3 linked regions of the Macaca fascicularis genome follow. The protein of the gene in region 2 interacts with the protein of the main gene of each other region in a pairwise test. Links are inferred from orthologs where the notes say so. Each region holds a gene or a part of one and is shown on either strand. Other genes may lie near its edges. The genes, in order: ELOF1, C6H5orf22 and WBP11.

What was found.
Region 1: the proteins of C6H5orf22 (region 2) and ELOF1 interact in binary tests that used the Homo sapiens proteins (3 or more experiments, as listed by UniProt). The two-hybrid records come from large-scale screens. The link is inferred for Macaca fascicularis from reciprocal best matches to the Homo sapiens genes C5orf22 and ELOF1.
Region 3: the proteins of C6H5orf22 (region 2) and WBP11 interact in binary tests that used the Homo sapiens proteins (3 or more experiments, as listed by UniProt). The two-hybrid records come from large-scale screens. The link is inferred for Macaca fascicularis from reciprocal best matches to the Homo sapiens genes C5orf22 and WBP11.

The regions. Positions count from the first base shown.
Region 1 is NC_088393.1:12,127,346-12,129,667, forward strand, and holds the end of ELOF1 (transcription elongation factor 1 homolog), read right to left. Parts: intron 1,916-2,322; 5' UTR 1,898-1,915; coding exon 1,782-1,897; intron 1,632-1,781; coding exon 1,561-1,631; intron 1,361-1,560; coding exon 1,296-1,360; 3' UTR 610-1,295; downstream 1-609. UniProt on the Homo sapiens protein: Factor involved in transcription-coupled nucleotide excision repair (TC-NER), a mechanism that rapidly removes RNA polymerase II-blocking lesions from the transcribed strand of active genes.
Region 2 is NC_088380.1:32,142,108-32,145,763, reverse strand, and holds part of C6H5orf22 (UPF0489 protein C5orf22 homolog), read right to left. Parts: intron 1,837-3,656; coding exon 1,697-1,836; intron 1-1,696.
Region 3 is NC_088385.1:17,580,420-17,584,770, forward strand, and holds the start of WBP11 (WW domain-binding protein 11), read right to left. Parts: upstream 2,896-4,351; 5' UTR 2,752-2,895; intron 857-2,751; 5' UTR 812-856; coding exon 748-811; intron 212-747; coding exon 180-211; intron 1-179. UniProt on the Homo sapiens protein: Activates pre-mRNA splicing. May inhibit PP1 phosphatase activity.

The sequences.
Region 1 (2,322 bases), on a different chromosome or scaffold from region 2:
GGACAAAGGTCCCTTTCATGTTTCCCTTCCCAGTGTCCCTCTTCCACCCACTACCTCCAGGACGGCCTGTGAGCTGGTCCCTCAGCCTGGACTCTGGGCTCACAAGAAGTCAGACTGTAAGTTGTGGAGCCTGGTTTCCTGGGTTCAGATCCCCCGTGCCACTTTCTGGCTGTAGGGTCTTGGGCCAGTGACCTCCTTCACCTCTAGCCTCAGTTTCCTCATCTTTGAACCTGGGGTTAGCTTGGCACCTGCCCCACAGGGTGGCTGTCAGGACACTGGGGTGATGCAGGCAAGGCCAGAGGTCAGCATCTGGCTAGAGGTGGCCCTACAATGTCACCGCCTCAGCCTGCCCCTCCCAGAAGCCTCCTCTGACCACCTGTTCTGTCTCACCTACCCCATCTCCTAATGTGACTGCTGTAAGCACCTGGCCAGATGTCTGCCTGCTCCGCCACCCTGAATGCTGACTGACTGAATAAAATGCTGGGCGGTGTGAAGGGCTGGTCACATGCGCCACCAGGCCACCTCCCAAACGCTGGAACCTCAGGTCCCCTCTCCTTCTTCTGGTGACGAGGCAGACGCAGAACCCAAGACATCACGGACAGCAAGGGATGTGCGCTGGCTGCTTTATTTAAGGGCTTGTGATTGACAGCTGTCCCCACCCCAGCCCTTGCTTCCTCTACAAAAGAAACTGAACACGAAACTGGGCTTCCTTGTTAGCATGGGGAGGGTGGCGGCTCCCTGTCAGGGCCCAGCCCAGGGACCTGGGGAACAGTGGCTTTGAATCCCAGGCCACGGGCACTAGAAGGTGGAGAAGGAGGGCGGGAAGTCCAGTTGAGATGGGCACGGTGCTGGTGAGGAGGCTGGAGAGGTCCAGTTCCAGCCTCTACTGGGCTTCCCTTGTTCAGGATATCAGGAAACAGCCCCCCACTTCCGCCGGGGGGGAGCCAGAGCCCCAAAGCTGGGGGGCCAGGGGCTGAAGAAGGGAACACAGCAAAGGCTTTTGGAGCCAAGAGAGGTCAGTTCAGGCCCCTCAGGCCCAGGAACCTGCCACCACTGCGTATCTATGAGCACACACTCACGGCCACCCCAGTGACACGTGCAGCCACACACACACCCACATCCACTCCACACTGGCACACACACCCACTCACACCCACGCCCACTCTACACACACACACAGAGGGCTGTGACAGCCCAGGACCCACACCCTGGACCCCTGGAATGTCTCTGGACCAGAACCGAACAGCTGGGTCCACAGTAGGCGGGGCTGCTCAGGGGGTGGGTCCTCTGTGTTGCTACTGATTGGCTGCCTCGCAGGCGTCTATCCAATCACTGTACACATCCACGGGTTCTGATAGATCTGAGCCGCTTAGGTCAAGGGTGATCATTGGCATTGGAACCCTGCCCTGCACCTTCTCACCCCACATAAATCAGTAGGTGGCACCTGTTCCTCTGGACGGCCTTGGCCCTGCACCAGGGCACACAGTGGGCCAGAGGAGCAGGGTCCGGACTCCAGCCCCCTCCCCATCCTCTGGAAAAAGCCCAGGTTTCTAAGGATACACGTTATGGGCGTCTGGAATTCCTCTAGGCACACAGTACAAGAGATGACTCCGGTGTTGCGGGCACGGTCCCTGAAACAGACCAAGAGAAGGGACTGGTGAGCAATGTGCCCGGGGCCTGTGGGTGATGACGCCTTCACCAAGGGAGGCAAGGGGCAGGATGGAGAACAGCGGGGAGGAGGTGGTGGGGAGGATGGATCCCTTGCCCCGTTCCCCACTCACATTTTCACATCACAGGATTTCTCGTGGTTGCAGAAGGGGCAGGTGAACTGGGTCTCGAGGGTGCCCGTCATCTTCTTCTTGGGAGGCGGCTTTCGTTTGGACTTTCTGCGCCCCATGTCTGCAGGTGGATGAGCCTGTGGGGAGTGGCAGATGTCAGTGGTTTGAGGAAACCACGCAGCCCCCCGCTCAATGCTCTAGAAAGCAGGCCGGAAAGAGGGTCTAGGACTTGCACTATGGTCTGGGGGCCTCTGCCCTTGAGCGACGAGGCCCTCAGTCCTGATACAGGAGGAAAATCCCCTGTTCCACTCTGGATGGAAGGGGTGAGCGGAGGTTCTAACCCCGTCTCTCTCACTTACTGCATGACCTGGGCAGGTTACTTAAGCTCTCTGTGCCACCGTTTCCTCATCCATAAAACAGAGACAAGGCCAGACATGGTGGCTCACACCTGTAATTCCAGACAGCACTTCGGGAAGCTAAGGTGAGAGGATCACTTGATGCCAGGAGCTGGATACCAGCCTGGGCAACAGAGTGAGGCATCATC
Region 2 (3,656 bases):
AAACCTCTTGCTTTTGTATATTGCCCAGTCTCAGGTATGTCTCTATCAGCAGCATGAAAACAGACTAATACAGCCTAGAACTGAACACTTTATTATATAGAAAAGTATTTTTAAAAAATGCATTAAATATGAACTAAATTTTCCAGGAATGCAACTACTCTGTAAATTGGGGAAAGACTGGACTTTAACTGCAGATCCTTATGAAGAGACTGTTCAATGACTGAAAAATGTCATTATGGCAGTGCTGTTCATGGCATCTGGTCAACACATGGTATCTGCATTTGTAACTGCTACATTTACATCATGTAGTGTAACTGCTATAGTACATTTTTAACTGCATGTCTTAAATATGTGAGTCTAGTTTGGCATTTTAATATATTTTATTATCAATTACTTTAATTCCTCCTATGTGTATAGGTATTATGTGTATAGTAGGTTATATTACATATATAATGTATATTATCTATGTATATTATGAATATTATCTATATATATTTAAATTACATATAGGTAGGTTACATTATATGAGGTTTCAGAATGATAAAAGGATGTTACAAAATGTTTGTCATGAATTACATATTATTAGCCTGAGTACTTAAAGTACTTATTTCAGAACTTCATACTTCCATACAAAACCAGCCCAAAAATTAACATAGGAAAGCATTATTAAATTGTTATAACTATTCAGCAATTATATTCAAATTTAAAACATGGCAGCAGCTAAATATTAATTGGTAGGACACAGAAATGAGAATTCTTGTGTTCATCTGAATCTTACCAACTGCAAAGACAAGGTAACAATAACTACATTGTTTGCATATCATCACTAATAGGGAAGAGAAAAAGGCCAGGTGCGGTTGCTCATGCCTGTAATCTCAGCATTTTGGGAGGCTGAGTTGAGTGGATCACCTGAGGTCGGGAGTTTGAGACCAGCCTGACCAACATGGAGAAACCCCGTCTCTATGAAAAATACAAAATTAGCCAGGCGTGGTGGTGCATGCCTGTAATCTCAGCTACTTGGGAGGCTGAGGCAGGAGAACTGCTTGAATCCGGGGGGCAGAGGTTGCGGTGAGCCAAGATTGTGCCATTGCACTCCAGCCTGGGCAACAAGAGCGAAATTCCTCTCAAACAAACAAACAAAAAAAACCAGGGAAGAGAAAATACAACATCTAAATTTTGAGCTGAGTAGGTAAAAAAAATTGTATTATTTTATTAGTAATCATTACATTTACCTACAGAAATTTTATTAGCTTCCTACTGCCGCTATAAAAAATTGCCACAAACTTAGTAGCTTAAAGCAACACTAAATTATTATCATATACTTTTGGAGGTCAGAAGTCCTAAAATAAAGGTGCCAACAGGGCTGCATTCTTTTTGTAAGATCCCAGGCATAATCTGTCCCCTGGCCTTTTCTAGCTTCTAAAGGCTGCCTGTGTTCGTGGCCTCCATCTTCAAAGCCGGCAGGGCAGAATTTTCGAATCACTCTCTCTGATTCTGACCCTCCTGCCTTTCTCTTCTAAGGACCCTTGTGATTACACTGGGCCCACTTGGTGAATCCAGGAGAATCTCATCTCAAAATCCTTGAGTTAATCACACTGATAATTCCCTTTTGCCATATAATGCAACACATTCACAGGTTCCAGAGATTAGGATGTGCACATCTCTGGTTTGCCATTATTCTACCGAACACACTTACCTTGCAATTGTCACAAGAGTAGGATTTGGTAAATTTTTCAGTAAATAATGCACAGATTGAATAAGATACTCTATTTCTTGTTCTGTGCTGATGTGGTGAGGAAGTTCTGAATAATCGCAGGTTAAACCAGCCTGGTGAACCTGAAAATAAGACAAAAATTACACTGTATGACAATTGTTTTTATAAGCTTCTTTAATCATTAATGGCCTTATTGACAAATCTTTACTTTTATTGATACATAAAAGATGTGCATATTTTCAGGGTATATGTGATAATTTAATACATTCATACTAGCATATAAAGATCAAATCAGGGTAACTGGACTATCCAACACCTTAAATATGACAAACTTTTAATTTTTAATCTTTATGCTTTGGGATTATTTTTTCTCTAACAGTTTCTATGTCATAAAAGTTATCTGCTCTCTGAAGTGTTGGTAGAACTCACCTATATACTGTCTGGGCCAGATGCCTCTTCTTAGAATAATTCTTTACTTCTTTATTGTATGATTATTGGTCTTTACTTAATTTTGGTAATTCGCATTTTCTATCAAATTATCCATTTCATCTAGATTCTAAAAAGTTGAGGCCAGGCATGGTGGCTCATGCCTGTAATCCCAGCACTTTGGGAGGCTGAGGCGGGTGGATCACCTGAGGTCTCAGGAGTTTGAGACCAGCCTGACCAACATGGAGAAACCCCGTCTCTACTAAAAATACAAAATTAGCTGGGTTTGGTGGCACATGGCTATAATCCCAGCTTCTAATCACTTGAACCCGGGAGGCAGAGGTTACGGTAAGCTGAGATCGTGCCATTGCACTCTAGCCTGGATAACAAGAGTGAAACTCCGTATCAAAAAAAAAAATAAAAATAAAAAGTTGATACAAAACTGTACATAATATTCTCATCTCATTTTTAACACATTATTTTACTTACTTTTAAAATATTAATACATGCAACTAATACTATATTCCAAGCTTTGAGAGGATACAAGATAAAATATATTTGTCCTACCTTATTTAACCAACTGTTTTCTTGTGTATCCTTTATGTGTAACCATAGACTACTGCCATCTACATATGTGTTTTAAATTTAAATGAATGATGTCCAGTCTTAGCACTAAACTAAACTTGCCTGAAAGTTAGAAGTGGCTCACATGCTACCATTCTGCAACCTTAACTTTAATGTTTTGAAAAATGGAACTTAACTATGTCATAGTTTTGCCTAGAGTATACAAGTGCAAAGCATGAAAAAACACACTAATCAACTATTTTACTAGAGGCTCTGGATACACATCAACAATTTAACTGGCAATAATCAGTCAGTGTGATAAAAGGATGAATTCTGAATGTTCATTTTGCCAAAATGGTAAAACTATTTAGCGTTCTATCTCTGCAGCTGTAGGCACATCATAATTGATTATATAATATGTGACTGAACCCCAGCCATTCCCTGTCCCCCAAAAAACATCAAACCCACCCAGCGAAAAAAATCCAGATGCAATGTAATGATTAAAGCAGACCTGCCTGCAGACATATTTGATAATATTGTATGAGCTCAAAGCATTTTCTCTTTTTAAATATGACACAAAGTCTCACTCTGTTGCCCAAGCTGGAGTGCAATGGCACGATCTCAGCTCACCGTAACCACCCAGGTTCAAGCAATCCTCCTGCCTCAGCATCTCAAGTAGCTGGGACTACAGGCGTGTGCCACCACATCTGGCTAATTTTTGTATTTTTTGTAGAGACAGGGTTTTGCCATGTTGCCCAGGCTGGTCTCAAACTCCTGGGCTCAAGTGATCTACCTGCCCTGACCTCCCAAAGTGCTGGGATACAAGTGTGAGCCACTGTTCCTGGCCTCAAAATATTTTCAAACCTTAAGTATCTTGTAATAATCTTAAATACCATTTTTTAAAAAATGTAAGTCTTGGCTGAGCATGGTGGCTCACGCCTGTAATCCCAGC
Region 3 (4,351 bases), on a different chromosome or scaffold from region 2:
TTACTTCAGTTCCTAAATATAGTAAAGTTTGGCTTAGTATATCTTACAGTTTTTATAAAAAGCATAAAGCATCTTTTCTAGAAAATATTAGAAATGTTATTCTGAAACCCACTAATCCCAAACCACAAGATGTGCCAAATAGTACTTAAAAGTTTTATAAGATGCCTCTGAAATCATACCTTCTTTAATTCTCTCTTCCGGGCTTCCTTTCCTTTAAAAGGAGAGAGGGAGATATAATAAAATTTTTGAATCTTGAACATTAGCATTTCCTTCAATTTCATACAGGTAATTCTTTATTGTGGGAAGTTATAGTATGCACTGTAAAACAGCAGCATCTTTGGCCTCTATCCACTACATGCCAAGAGCATCCCTCTAATTATGACAACCAAAAATGTCAAGACATTTTTGTTTAATGTTCCATAAAAAACAACTATGAATCTGAAAGAAAAAGATAACATAAAATGCGAAACAAGGGCTCGCAAAACTAATTTGCTCAAAATTTCAAATACAAAAAGAAAACTTTCAGCCAATTCTACTTTGCAAGTCAATCAAATCTGAAAACTAAAATATGGGTACTAATTTCTTTGCATGTTTAACGTCTTAATGTTCCCATCCAAACACTGAATATACAATTTATTCCTCCTATCACTGCTGGTCTTGTAATTAAGCCACAGAGAAATAAATTCCCTAATATGTGCAATTTTTAACACTCTCCTACTTCATCATTCCACACTAATGGACACTTACGGGCTTGGTCTGTGGGGTTCATAAATTTTCCACTCTTGGTGGATGATGTAGATCTCCGTCCCATGTTGACAATTTGTATGGTTTACTTGTTCATTAAAAAAAGAAAAACCTGTGAAGGTGAAGACAAAGAAATAGCTTATATCTCCTAAATTTATTTCTTCCTTTTTCTAGTCCCTACCAATCTCTGAAAAAAAAAATTCCTTTAATTAGAAATTCTGTGAGACTGTTCTTTCCTTAGTTTTGACTTTAATGTCCAAGAAAGATGGCATTAAGTTCCTTGACCATGAAAATTTAGATCTTCATCATTCTTTGGAAATGTGATGAGTGTGAAGACCACTTTGAATATCCTCAAGTCATTACTTTATCTTTTTTCTTATGGATCACAGCGCTGACTTTGTCAACTGATAAAAAAACAACTAGAAAATGCTTTAACGATATGGCACAAACCATGAACATCAGAATTCATTAGTCCTTCTTCTATAACCTCCCTTTATTAACACGTAATTGTAAAAGAAGAATACGAACGGAATGGGGGTAATGGATCTAGGCTCAAAACAAACACCTCACTCTTGCCTCGCTCCATGGTTTTTCTTGGCATGTATGCTGTACATTCTCAACACTTCTAAGACGCTAAAAACTCATTCATTTAAGCATATTTAATTCAGATATAATGCTTGACTCTCAAGAGTTCAAAACACAACTAAAAATGCAAGTATTTGAAATTAGTGCTACACTGAGAGCTCCCCAAAATTTAAATATTAAGACACATATTTTTCTAATACCTGACTCCCAATATATATTTCTTAAGGTAACTAAAGGGAATACTTATTCTTGTTTGAGGAAAAAATATTTTGTAAGCTAAAACTTTTATTAACACAATACCCTATTACATGACTTCTTCCTCTTATTCCAAAAGAATGGGGCTTAATTTTTTGAAGCATTCTTTCCAGTAACAAAGGTGGACAAATTTGTTTCCTTTTGCAAGTAGACACTTTTTAAAGGGAAGAAAGGGAAGATTTTCAGACCAGTTTGTTACAGTTAATGTGTCTTTCGCCAAGTGTCCAATTGCCCCGAAAGCCAGATGTTTCAGAAAGCTAGATGTTTCATAGCTGTTCTGGTGGCAATTACTTCAAGACGGTGGTGTCAAAGGCTCTGATTTTTAGCTTCCTCATCTAAAAAATGGGGCCATCAATTACTTTATAACAAAGCTCTGATGATACAACGGGATTACAAATAAAATATCTTGTGATGTTTGACTCACTATTTAACTATAATGTTTATAATGGATCCATATTCCTGCTCTAGCTACCATATACCCTGTCAAGTGGTTTCCTTCTCAGAAAAACTGGGGGGTGGAGGTGTGGGTGGGAGAGCAGCAGGGAGTAGGAGGTAGGGAAGGAAGAAAACATGCAAAATTCGTACAAATACAAGCTCTCCCATCTTTGATTGCCTGCGTTTTTCGTGCTTTCCTTTCTCAAGCGGGCTCATGTTCTGAATCTCCTCCCCCACAAATGAAACACAACGGATACGAATTACAGAGAATTTTACGGAAGATACGGGAGCTTAAGTCTGCAAAGATTAGTTTTTTGTCTACAAGCGGGGGCGACTGGAAAAATCAAGCCAAATAACCGTTGGGGAACTGTAAATAGCCAAAAAACCTTCAATGGGATAGGGTCCAGGTCCACCAAAGGAGGCAACACCAGCAACTGCCGAAACCATAGTGACGGTTGACCGACCATGACTCGAGGTACAAGACGTCAAACCTAAGGCTACCAATCAACGTGCATAGGAAGCGGCCCCAACCGCCCCGGGCGATGCCAACCGCGTAACCACTGGTCGCCGCGCCACCCCAGGCCCTGGAATACCCCAGTCCGCAACCGGGAGACCCCAGCCGGGGAGAGGAGGAGCGGGGCAAAGGGACTGGGTGTCCCCCAAGCCACTGCGCGGGCCGTGGAAGGGACGAAAGAGGTGAGGAAAAGAAGTAGAGCAACTCCATACACTCACACTTCTGCTGTGCTCCCAGGACTACGAGAAGCGGGCAGGGGGCGATTCCCGGCCTCTTTCACTTGGTAAGGGCCTTCAACTCGGCCTCTCGGTCTACCCCTCAGCTACCGCCATCTTGAAACCTCGCGCCCCTCCGCAATCCTTACGTCATTTCCCATTCCTCTGTCCCGCTGTCTCTTAGCGCAGCTCGGCCCTAGAACCATAGAGAATACTCAAGAATTCCAGGACCAGAGTCTCTTCCGGTCCCATACAATACTCCATTGGTTGGTTGTCGGCTAAGAGCCCGCCTCATTGCGCTCATCTAGTACAATAGGAATTGAAAGAAGATAGCTGCTATCTGATTGGCTGACGGTCCTGTCTCTCAAGTTGGAGGCGTTCTGACCTAGTTGCTGTGGGCGTAATGCGTTGATCTGTCCGAGAACGGTACTTTCTGCAGATGCAGAAGCGTTCCGCGTTTTGTGTCTCTTGGAATTACGTTAGTTTTTGGATTTTTATGTTTCTTATGACGCAAGCAGGTGCGATCCTTTAGGGGTGTCTCCGTTTGTAAACGAATACCCAGATAACATTTGCTACTGAGTTTAATCCGCTTTGTAAGCATCAGGTTATCCCATGTGGGCGTCTGGTACGTGTGGAAATTTAATAGACGCGCAGAACAGAACATTTGTAGACCACCTGAACAAATAAATCAGCACCCGTATTAGAGTCGCAAATTGCTTATACGGGCGGTGATTTATTATTTATTATTTATTAGTAGTGTTCTGAAGAAGAAATACGGGGATACATATGCAGTCGGTTTTAAGTTTATGAGTGGCAAGGTTGATATATATTGGCCGTATTCCCTACTGGTCTATTCACCAGCCAAAAGTCCTCTATGATGTCACTCTACGTACAGGATTATTCACTTAACTCTAGCCTTTGCCCTTTCCTTACCTACTATCCCCTCTTTCCCTGAGTCAGCCCCCACTTATTTCCCTTAAAGGTAAGTTTAAACATTTAAAAAACTATCTTAGAGGGTACGCTTGGTTATTTCTAATCTTAACCAGACTATCCCTTGTAGGAAGTCTATTCTTACCACCAGTTATAAATATTTCAAAATATTGTTGGAGATACATATTAATTTTTGGCAGAATCTTTAAACTGCCCTTGAAGGTAATATGATCGGTCCTATACCTAAACTTACCTTTGTGTTAGGAAATTCTTGATTTGATTTTAGATTGAATTTCAGTGTCGGAAAGCAATGACAAGATCTGGTAGGTTAAAGCTGATAAACCAGGTAACACATAAAAAAGAAAATAATCTTGAATTTTGAAGATGAACTAAGTTGTAATATTTTGCAACTTGTTTTTTTTTCTTCTTAACACCATATTAGTGGTCATAGTTTTGCAACTCGTTTTGAAAAACAATGCGAGAAGAGAAAGAGAAAACAAACTGTTTGTTGGAAATATTAAAGTCTTTCATGTAGCTAAAATTTTTCCTGTAGCTAATATTATTAAGATAGGCTGAGCAGTTTTTATTTCAATACATTTCTTGTACTTGGATGGGAGAATCAGCTATAACAAACGCAGTCTGGCATCAACAGCATATTAATAATTTTGTCAGT